Linked DNA regions of Drosophila melanogaster. The protein of the gene in region 1 purifies or fractionates together with the protein of each later gene. This does not show direct contact. Each region holds a gene or a part of one and is shown on either strand. Other genes may lie near its edges. The genes, in order: Acf and Chrac-16.

Evidence for each region.
Region 2: the proteins of Acf (region 1) and Chrac-16 fractionate together in Drosophila melanogaster (co-fractionation; 2 studies listed by BioGRID, with this or other methods). This does not show direct contact.

What each region holds. Positions count from the first base shown.
Region 1 is NT_033777.3:31,792,083-31,800,092, forward strand, and holds Acf (ATP-dependent chromatin assembly factor large subunit), read left to right. Parts: upstream 1-1,898; 5' UTR 1,899-2,285; coding exon 2,286-2,407; intron 2,408-2,899; coding exon 2,900-4,130; intron 4,131-4,188; coding exon 4,189-6,551; intron 6,552-6,610; coding exon 6,611-6,786; intron 6,787-6,852; coding exon 6,853-7,291; intron 7,292-7,356; coding exon 7,357-7,456; 3' UTR 7,457-7,717; downstream 7,718-8,010. Other genes in the region: Mccc1 (Methylcrotonoyl-CoA carboxylase 1), read right to left, coding at 1-2, 62-568, 623-1,388, 1,496-1,536.
Region 2 is NC_004354.4:12,016,500-12,020,130, reverse strand, and holds Chrac-16 (chromatin accessibility complex 16kD protein), read left to right. Parts: upstream 1-2,169; 5' UTR 2,170-2,257; coding exon 2,258-2,680; 3' UTR 2,681-2,906; downstream 2,907-3,631. Other genes in the region: Lsm12a (LSM12 homolog a), read right to left, coding at 1-124, 190-306, 373-503, 806-950; regucalcin, read right to left, coding at 3,160-3,352, 3,410-3,631. UniProt on the Drosophila melanogaster protein: Histone-like protein which promotes nucleosome sliding of ATP-dependent nucleosome remodeling complexes. Part of the chromatin-accessibility complex (CHRAC) which uses energy/ATP to increase the general accessibility of DNA in chromatin.

The DNA.
Region 1 (8,010 bases):
ATCTAAAATTGGTTTACCTTTAGGGAAATGTCTTAAAGGTACAAATTTTTAATGTTCTCACATGATATTCACCCAGGCGGGCAACCAATGAGTTAAGCGCTTGTGTGCGGTTTTCGCCCCAAACGACTAGCTTGGCAATCATGGGGTCGTAGTGCACAGACACCTCATCTCCTTCTCGGACACCCGTCTCCACGCGAACGTTGTTTGATGGTTGGGGAGTAGACAAATATCGCAGGGGTCCGGCTCCGGGCAGAAAGCCTCCGCGAGGATTTTCTGCATAAATGCGAGCTTCAAATGCGTGGCCACGCCGCGTAATCTCAGATTGCTTCAGGGGTAATGGCTCACCGGCGGCAATGCGAATCTGCCATTCAACCAAATCGGTGCCCGTAATCATTTCCGTTATAGGATGCTCCACCTGCAGGCGGGTATTCATTTCCATGAAGTGGAAAGAGAGATCTTCTTTGTCTAGAATGAACTCCACGGTGCCAGCTCCTACGTAGCCCACAGCTTTCGCTGCACGAACAGCAGCCTCGCCCAGCTCACGACGCAAATCTTCCGACAAACCTGGCTGTTGTATAAATGAGCATTATTTTTAAAATAGCCGAAGCTCTTGTGCACTTACAGCTGGCGCCTCTTCAATAATCTTTTGATGACGTCTTTGCACGGAGCAATCTCTTTCCCACAGATAGACAGCATCACCATACTGATCCGCAAATACTTGAACCTCTACGTGGCGTGGAGATCGGACGTACCGCTCCAGAAGCACAGAGCTGTCGCCAAACGACTTCTCGGACTCGGTGCGAGCTGAGTTCAGAGCGGTGAGGAAGTCGTCCGGTTTTTCTGCGATTCTCATGCCTTTGCCTCCGCCGCCGCGGACGGCTTTAATCATCAAGGGAAAGCCAATTTTGTCGGCTTCTCGCTGCAAACACTCATCTGACTGATCATCGCCATGGTATCCATTGATGATCGGCACCCCAGCAGCGGCCATTATGGCCTTGCTGGTGCTCTTAATCCCCATGTCCCGGATGGCGGAACTGGGCGGACCCATGAAGATGATGCCCTCACGCTGGCACAACTCGGCAAACTCGACGGACTCGGAGAGGAAGCCGTAGCCTGGGTGGATGGCCTGGGCGCCCGAACGCTTGGCTATGTCCAGGATGCGTTCACCGCGAAGATAGGAAGCCGAGGAGGCAGCTTCCCCCACGCGGTACGACTCGTCTGCCAACTGCGTGTGCATGCTCTTCTCGTCCGGATCCGAGAACACGGCCACGGTACGAACTCCCAGCTTGCGTGCGGTTCGAATCACCCTGCATGCGATCTCACCACGATTTGAAATAAGGATCTTGCTGATAGGCCGAACTTTTGGGCTGGCTTCTGTTGCAAAGCACCTGCGTCAAGCCAAAACAAATTAGCAAGGTTTATGTAATCGTCAAGAACGAAATTAAGTCTTTTGATTTAGCGGCCTTAACAAAGAACTGCCGATCATTTCCCTCACCTGGCGTTTGCGCCGAAGTTTCGCAGCAGTCTGGCGTACATTATTAGTAGAATTAATTGTAAGAATAAATAACAAATATACTTTATTCAGAGCAAGTGTGCGATCGTCGCTTATCACAGCTGGAAAAACGCACACGCACAAGATCGCAATTGAGATGGGCGACTCACGAGATGCATGGTTGAAAATATTAATGTTTCATATATCTTTTGGGGATTATCATATATCATCAATATCTTTTAGGGAAATTGATATTACGTATATTGTGTTTTTTTTAAGTTGCAACCCATAAAAAATATTACCGTTATATTATTCTGGACTATTTATCGAACTGTTGACATCCATCCGACCGCGTCCTTACGGTTTTCTGCGCTCGTGAAGTTCGGTAACATTGTTCGCAGAAACTCGATAACCGATAGTTTAACGTCGAAGAGCGATAGGCCCCAAAATATGCGCGTGAAAATAGATTGTGCGCTATAAAATAAACGGATTTAGGTAGTTGGTGTTGAGGAAGCCAGCCACAAACATAGTAGAAATTGTCGGAAAAGTGTCGCCCGCCGACAGCTTGTATAATTGCGTCGGAAGTCAACGCGCGTATCGCTGGAAAACCGTTTGCATCGAAAGCCCCTCCGGAAAGGCGTGAAAAGTTGGGCGCCTTTTGCGCTTGTCGCTTGGCGTTGTAAAATTTATCAGTTGCTCCGCGGTTGTTTTTATTGTGAACTGTTAAACGTGCACTTCGAAGGACTGCCATTTAAACTTAAGGACATTCAAGAGCAAAAGGAAAACACCAAACATGCCCATTTGCAAGCGGGAAGGATTCGACCTGAATCAGAAGGAGGGCAAGAACGAAACATTCCACGACAACGACCAGGTCTTCTGCTGCTACATCACTAAGCGCATTTTTCGCGACTATGAGTAAGTGCATCCTGCTACCATTCCTGCAACTGCCCCTTCCCTTCTCCTGCCATTAGGTGGACGCTGCGCTAAAGTATACAACAAAAGCGACGCTGCAAAAGCATTTGCACACGATGTACCGTACATCACCATTCAGTGTGTGTGTGTGTGTGTTCGCAGGGGTGCATAAGTGTGCGAGTCTCGTGGGCCAAAGGCGAAAAAAACGCTGTTCGGTGGCGGGAAGAAATTACAGCTGCCGCCGCACAGCTGCTCGCCGCGGAGTTGCCACCTGGTGCCAAAGCGCGCGCTCTTGAATTTGGAATTTGTTGACCCAATTCGACTTATATGATCCTTCTAGATATTTTTAAGATCAGCAATTATTTAAGAGGCTGGGTAGCGCGAAACTATTTTAATAAATAGCAAACATACTAAATATGTTTTACTCTGACAAGCTTCAATTATATCAAAATAAATTGACCTTAAAACGCTGATCGATTAAATTTATTTATCCAGACACTACTTCCGGCACGTGATGGTGATCAACTCAACGGTGTGGCAGTGCGAGGCCACCGGCAAGGAGAACCTCACCTACGAGGAGGCGGTCAAAAGTGAGCGGGCGGCTCGCAAGAAGATGGAGCAGTTCAAACAGAGCCTTCGGGCACCCGTCCTTCTGGTTGTGGAGCACGCCCAACAGTCGGCGGTCAACACCTTGAACATGATAGTGGCCAAGTTTCTGCGCAAGCGCTACTTTATCGGCGAGGAGGTGTCGGTGCAAGCTAAGAAGAACGCCACGTACACGGTGTTGGGTGTCAAGTTGGACAAAAATATGCCGGAACCACTCAATGGTATCTATGAGGACACGGACAACCTGGTCTACAGACTACGACCAAACAAGGGCGATCCCAGTGCAGAGCTTGATCTGCCCTTTAGGCAATTACGTCGCTCGCGCATGGAGTTTAACCTGGAAAACCTGAGTATGTTTATAAAGAGCAATGTATCGCGGGTGGATGGACTTCTTCGACCCAAGCCAGAGGCATACAAGCAGTACGTGACGGACCCTGGCGTAAACTTCTCCACAATTTTCATTGGCAAAATGCCACGTTATTCTCCCGCTAAGATTAAAAAACCTGACGGCAAGAAGCAATCCACTCTCAACAAATATATTGTCGCCGGTGAAGCAACGGCTGCAAAGTCAAAGGCGAAGGCCAAGTCTGATGCTAAATCTCTGGCAGAGGAATTGGAGCGGGTTAAGCGAGAAAAAGAGGCCAAGCTTATTGAGTTGGAAAAACAAAAGGCGGAAAAGAAGGCACAGTTGATTGAACGCGTTGAAAACGAATGTAATTTACTGCTTCAAAAGACGGACGACCTGGAGAGAACCGACCAAAAAGTCCTGCCCCGCTACAGACAGATCGTCACATTGCTGCCTGAGCACCTCCTGGGTGATGCCTTCATGATGCGCGAGTTTATGCACACTTACACAGGATTGCTGTCCGGCATCGAGGTGTTCCGTCAGAACCTCAGTTTCTACGAGATGACACGTGCACTGACTGCTCGTGAGATTGCGGGCCCACTATCGGACATCCTCCTCGTTCTGCTTGGCACTGTTTTCGATCTGCAAAAAGAAGAGGAGGAGGAATGCGCAGTGACCTACCTCGATCGGGCTGCACAAACTCAGGAGCCCTATTGGAGTATGGCGCAGGCCGCCAAAAGTCACCTTTACGCCAAGAGGCACTTTTCCTTTAAGGTCAATACTTTGTTTGTGCCGACGTGTGTTATCTAAACTAATTTTATTTTCCCAATAGGTAAATGAACTACCATTAGATGCACTGACTCTCAGTGAAGTGCTACGACTGCATCTACTTGGATCCGGAGCTTTTGTAAATGAAAAGGCGGAGCGCTGGAGAGTCATGTACCGGAATGGCTACTCGTCAAAAGAAGACCCTGGTCTGGAACTACGTCTGGAACACTCGCACATCCTGCGCATTCTCAAAAATCATTCCGTATATCAGCTAAAGTTTAAGGATATAATGCTCCTGATTCGCTGCCTGATGTCCCAAATTATGACATACTCGGGCACGATTAACTTGATTGAGGAGCGTATGGAGCAAACAGCAAAGGCCAGGCAAGATCTACGAGCTCTAGTTGTCGGGGAAAATAAGAGATTAGCCGCCGTAGAGATAAACAGGAAAAAACTCACGCAAATGCACCACCTGGAGGTAAATGGCGTTGAGCCTGAAAAGAGGGAAGCGTTGGTCGAGAAATTAAAGAAGAGTATTGCCGAGCTACACGCCCAATCGGATCAGCAACATCGCAAGCACGAGTTGCAGATGCTTAAGTTGCATTCGCAGCTTTTCAATTTTTTGGTTTACTTGGGCATGGATAGGTGCTACAGGAAATATTACGTTTTGGAGTCTATGCCTGGGATCTTTGTCGAGCATTCGCCGGACAGCCTTGACACTTGTTTGGAGCAACCAATAACAAATAAGTCCCAAATAGAAATTCGTCAGCAGTCTGCATTGCCAAAGAATCGCAAGGACCTAAGGGTATATCTACTCAAACTCTACGGAGACGACGAAAAGAAAACTAAGAAAAAGGCCAAGCACTCTCTAGAGAACAAGGAGAACCAAGAGCATCGCCTTAACGGCAGTGCAGAACCCATGGATGTCGAATCTGATTCTCCAGAGGCTCCCACTCATTTTGAGCTCTTGATGTGCAGTGGTGACAAACGATCTTGTATTGTGCATGATTCAAGAAATGGGCAACGGCAGCGTTGGGCATATATTTACAAAGCCGAGGAGATCGATGAATTAATTAAGGCTCTCAATCCCAATGGTCTCCGTGAATATGAACTCCTTCAAGAGCTATCCGTTCTGCGTTCCTTAATCGAACAGCATGCTAAGACCTGCCCAGTAGACTTGCTAAGTCTAGAAAACGAAACAATGCGCAAGAAGTTTATGGCGGCGATGGAATCTGAAACTAACCGTAAATACGGAGAAGCAAACTTTGGGTTACCGAATGGGACCGATCTAAACGAAGTGATGCGCTTGCATTTAGTGGATCGAATTATTCAATTTGAAAATGATATTTACACTGGTGATCTCGGCCGCCTGAAAGTTAAGGATATGGAAAAGTGGCGAAGTGACTTGCTTGGAGGCAATTACGACGCTCAGTGCAAGTTGCAGTGGGGCCCGGGTGGCAAGTTGGAAGATGAAGCTGGTTCTGACAACGAATCCCACGAAACTCACGAGGAGGACGATGGCGCACTATTAGGTAAATATGCCAGGAAACCATATCGCGATCCTGGCATGTATTTGGCAGCTTCTGCAGACACAAAACCCCTACCAGACAGCGACGATGAGGAGGATCAGCATACGAATGCCGTCTCGATTCCTATCGCCGTGCATAACATGGCCTCGGCCCTTCTGCAAGTGGAGCAGGCTATTGGAAAACGGTTTCTGAAGGAACCCTACGGCATGAAGAAGTGGGACCCCAAGCAGGAGGCTTTAAAACTTGCCTGCGACTCGCGTTTGCACCAGTGGGAAGTTTCGCTAATGGAAAGTACAAGCTTTGCTCAAGTCTTTCTGCACCTAAACATCTTGCACGACTGTATTCAGTGGAGGCGTTCCACCAATAAGTCATTATGCAAGGTCTGCAGGCGTGGCAGCGATCCGGAGAAGATGCTGCTGTGCGATGAATGCAACGCTGGCACTCACATGTTCTGCCTGAAGCCTAAGCTGAGGTCTGTACCCCCGGGCAACTGGTATTGCAATGATTGCGTAAAGAGTCTGGGTCTCAGCAATGGTCAAAACGAAAAGGATAAAAAGCAGGCGACAAAGAAGAAACGCAAGTTTATCGTAGAAGAGGAGGATGATGAAGCTACAGACGAAGAAGAGGAAGAGAAAAAGGATGACGATATGACCGATGAGGATGCGGAGCACGAGAACGAAAAACACGATGAGGACGTTGAGGACGACGAAAGTGTGACCTCTACCCCCTCATCTTCCAGAGTCAATGGGCGAATTTTAAGGCGACCCCGCACACGGCCAACAAGCAGAAGACTTACTTCGAAAGAGATCGAAGAACATGCTCAGGAAGACGTTGACAGCGGAGACGTCAGCGATGACGCATCCTTAACCGCCGGTGAAGATACGATCGAAGACGAGTCGTAAGTTAAAAACTGGATTGAAAATTAAATTTAGATAATGAACCCATTGCAATCCACAGAGATGAGGAAAAGGTGTGTCAGAAGTGTTTCTACGATGGCGGTGAAATCAAATGTGTGCAATGCAGGCTATTCTTTCACCTGGAATGTGTTCACCTCAAGCGACCGCCTCGCACAGATTTCGTTTGTAAAACCTGCAAGCCGATGCCACAACGACCTAGGCGCCGGCACAGTAACAGTAAGTCCACAAATTTCTCCTTAATGAATAGCTCACTAATAGCCCGTGTGATTTCTGTCCAACAAGTGAATGGTGATCATGACCGCGATGAGGAGGAGCCAAAAGCAAAGCGACCACGTAACTCTTTGCGCCTATCTATCGACAAGACCGCCCGCCCAAGCAACGGCAACAACAACAACAATAATAACAACAGCAGCGTCAATAACAACAACCATCGCAGAAGCGGGCGTCGGACGAACGAGCACATGCCGTTGAACAGTGCCGCCTTGTACGATCTGCTTGAGCAGATCATGAAGCACAAGGCCGCTTGGCCGTTTCTGCGACCAGTGCTGACATCGGAGGTTCCCGACTACCATCAGATCATCAAAACGCCCATGGATCTAGCTAAAATCAAATCCAAGCTAAACATGGGCGCCTACCAGCTAAACGAGGAGCTGCTCAGCGACATTCAGTTGGTGTTTAGAAACTGCGATTTGTACAACGTAGAAGGCAACGAAATATACGAGTGAGTAGATTGGGATAATCCGTAAGTGGTCTTGTTGTTTATCCTTTATCTTGAATCCGTTGCAGCGCTGGTTGTCAACTAGAACGATTCGTGATCGATCGATGTAGGGACATGCAGCTACCGTTTAGGCCTAGCGATATGAACGGGGAAGTCAAAGCTTGCTGAGCCGGACGCTGATCTCCACCAGCTATCGTGTAAATTAGTTAGTCTACTCTAAGCCGTAGTTGAAAACCATATATATTTAAGCACAAATATTAAGTGTATTTAAAGATCTTTATTTTCGTGCATGTCAGTTCTAAGTTCAGCACACGCATATGCAAAAAATCCTTATCTGTTGGTTTATGAGACTTTATGTATTTATAAATTATTGTAGACACTACGAAAATTCCACAATCAATAAATGAAGTGACCGGAAACAAACGATTCAAAATAAATAAGTAAAAAAAATTGTTTTGTTGGAGGTGTAAAAAGCTAAAATTAAATGAATACAAATTTTAAAAGAGCTTAGCTCTGTATAAACGCAGGAAAAATGGGTAGATGGAGTTTGCCAGTTTTTAAAACAGACGATTTGATCGCAAAAAAAAAAATATTGCTTAAAGAACCTAATTTGCCAAATTCTTTCTTAATCGAGAAAAAAGTGTTGGATGCTGCATTGTTATTATTACTTTTTATGAAATCTAAGCTATGTGTGTTTCACTGGACATTAAAAGTAAGAGTGA
Region 2 (3,631 bases), on another chromosome or scaffold:
TGATGTAGTTGCATGAAGTTTCGTTGTTCGAGCTGGACACCACGTTGTCCACTCGGTACGGCGGCGAGATGGTGACTTCATTTAGGATCTGTATGTTAAGTCCTTGCCAGGAGACTTCATTGTACTACAAAATAGTAAAAGAAATAGCAATGGTTAATGATGATAGGGCATCGTGCAAGAGGTCATTACCCCGTATTGTTTGGCTATCGCTCTATAGAGTTCCTGCGCCTCTGGACTGACATCAGCATTCTTAGACTTCAAGTAGTCCTGTCTTCGCTCAACTGTTTTCCTCAGACGCATTTTGACCTGTATAAGCAATATATATATATATATATATATATTTATGTAAGTGGTCAGAGCTGGCATGCTTACCTGTTCCAGATTAAGCTTTTGCGGATCATCAAAGTTGCCGTTGCACTCCTTGATCACCTGCACGTTGCTGCAGAGCGAGAGGTTCATCGCGTAGATATCACTCAGCTCCTCCGTGGACTTGGATCGGCATTCTATGCGGTTGGAAAGGGAAGAGAAGAGCAGGAACGGGGGGCAAAGATATACGATGTACGGAGAACCAAATTGTCAAGCAGTAAACAATGGGTTTGATAAGAGATAGGTGATATGTGAATGCTATCAGTTAAGATGAGTGTGAATTAGAATTATATACGAATCTAAAGGACAGTGTGACTTTTTGTCCAGACAGCTCAAGAGATCCCTGTGGACAGCCGGAGAAAGTGCTCGCTTTCACCCGGCGGGCAAGTTGTGTGTGTGTGTGGGTATGCATTTCGGGGATTTCGTTGCAAAAGGATACTCAGGATAAGCATCTTTGTGTTGTGATCGAAGGCCAGCACCTCGCCCTCCACCTCCTCGTTGAAACAGGTCGTACAGACGACTGTGGATCCGATGCTGAAGCAGTCGTTCACTGCATTCACTGCGCTCGCAGCGGCAGCGGCCATTTTTAATTGCTGGTTGAGATTGGCCAACTGGAAAAGTGCACCCACAAGCTATGTGGATAGGGGATTCGAATCTAGATCTAAATGTCGATACTGGTTTGTTGGCACGCCGTTGCTTGAACAACGTTTCACAAACAGCGATGGTGATGATGTTGATGATTTTGCGGCAGCAGCAGCTGTTTTGGATGCTTGAATTCCTGGAATTCTCGAAAGGATTTAACTAGCTCTCTCGCTCGCTCTCACTCTCGCCGTCTGTCTGTCTCGTTCTCTCGTGCCGTGCAGCTCACTCGCTTTCACTTGAACCGCTCTAATGGAAATGTCGCTTCCTGGCGATCTGGTCGAGATCCTGCTCCTGCTTCCACTGCCCCTGATCGTCGCGTGAATTGGCCAAAAACTCGCTGGTTACTCGCTCGACTAGCTATCGGCTATCTATTTTGGCGGCAATTGCGGTTCGGTAATTGAAAAGTTGGAAAAGTACGCGAAAAATTTATTGGTCAACACACGAAACAACAGCCAAAAGGGGGCAGCAGAAAACGCAGTGTTGCACATGCCGCGCAGCGATAGGTTCGATAGTCATCGATTACGGAAGTCTGGCAACGTTGCTGCAAACAAATCAAGTGCAATAATAATTTATTGATATTTATTTATATGTGAGTTCGAAAATGAAGACAGATTTTTAAGCTATAAGTGTGAAAATCCAAAGTTGATTGCATACTGAAAAGACAAAAGTAGATAATATTGACTTGTCTAAATGTTGTTGCAATTGAATGTTTCCTTATAAATCGTGCAGATCCTAATCGTTTTACCCCTAATCTCTTGATTAAGTTAAAGGTATTTGCTTAGAGCGGTTTTTCCACTAATAAATTGAAATATTTGGAAAACTTTTATTAAATACTTGTTGTGGCTACCGATAGCATATCGGCGCAACGTTATTTGGTTAAATTCCCGCTCCAGCTAGAGCTGAAAGTATAGGCAAATCCGAATGGGTTTCTCAATTTTTATATATTTAGCGCTATAACTTAATTCTGAGAAAGTAACACATATATTATTGTGCACATCCAATTCCTTGCAAAAATAGAAGTATGCCAGCATTGTTCGTTTTAAGGGAAGCCCTGCGGTTACTTATTTTAAGTCTTCATAAACCATAACCATCGATAGCAAATAAAAAAAAAGAATCGATAGTGTCTCAGAAAGGTACGAATTTCATGCCTCGATTGTAACATCGATAGTTTCACAGCTCCACTTGTGAGCCCAGCTCTAAAACCAAAAAAATTCCCAAGCCATAGTTTGCTTGGGAATTAAGTAAACAAATGGGCGAACCAAGGAGCCAACCACCCGTGGAGCGTCCACCGACCGCGGAAACCTTTCTGCCCCTCAGCCGCGTGCGAACGATCATGAAGAGCTCCATGGACACGGGCTTGATCACCAACGAGGTGCTCTTCCTGATGACCAAGTGCACGGAGCTATTCGTTCGCCATTTGGCGGGCGCGGCATACACGGAGGAATTCGGCCAGCGACCGGGCGAAGCGCTCAAGTACGAGCATCTCTCCCAGGTGGTCAATAAGAACAAGAATCTGGAGTTTCTGCTGCAGATCGTGCCGCAAAAGATCCGTGTACACCAGTTCCAGGAGATGCTGCGGCTAAATCGCTCCGCCGGCAGCGACGACGACGATGACGACGACGATGATGACGATGAAGAAGAGTCCGAATCGGAATCGGAGTCTGATGAATAGACGGTCATGCAGATGTTTATCTACACCGAAATTGAGTGGATGATCTCCATTCACCAAAACATCGACTGATTTTTTACGCCACCTTGCTATCTTTAATTTTAGACTAGACGATAAGTATAAAATTGTTTATAGAACCACTGATTAATAAAGAAGCATAAGAGCACTGCGTCCTCCAAATGACCATAAGATCCGCGGATGATTACCGTGTGTCTGCGGCTGATAAGATTGTTGTTTGAAATCAGAGTAAAGTAGAGCATAGTCAACCTCTTTGTGAGTTTACATGATGATCCTGGATATTCCCAGGAGAGAATGTGATCCTTAAGCTGACCTTGAACTAGAACTGCAAAAAAGGATAACCTAACTAGCATGCAAAACATTGATAGACGCGATTTAAAACGTTAAAGAGCATAACATATAATTGCACTTGGATTCGATTGGTACATTTTACTGCGGCTAAGGATAGATAGAGATTGCAGCTCCTAGACCTTCAGGTTGACGCCGGGATAGCCGGTGGCGTTCAGTCCGGTCACCTTGTAGGTGGTGCCAGCTGGAGCGGGCTGATCGAACTTGGCGGCAGTGGTCACGTACAGGATGTCCAAGTTGGGGCCACCGAAGGCGGCGGAGGTAATCTGTTTGGTTGGGAACTTGATCTCAAGCAGAATCTTGCCAGTGCTGCAATGAAGTACGACATTTAACACTCGATCACGAATGTTAGAGTGAACTACTCACTTGGGATTAACCTTGTAGATGGTGGCGCCATTGAAGGTGGCCACATACAGGTTGCCCTCGGTATCGATGGTCAGGCCATCGGGCAGCAGATGATCCTTGGGACTATTCTTGCGCAGATTGAATATAACCTTGGGATTGCTAGCCACGCCGGTCTCGAAATCATAGTCATACGACTTCACCTCGTAGTCGGTGGTATCGATGTAGTAGAACTTCTTGGCCTTC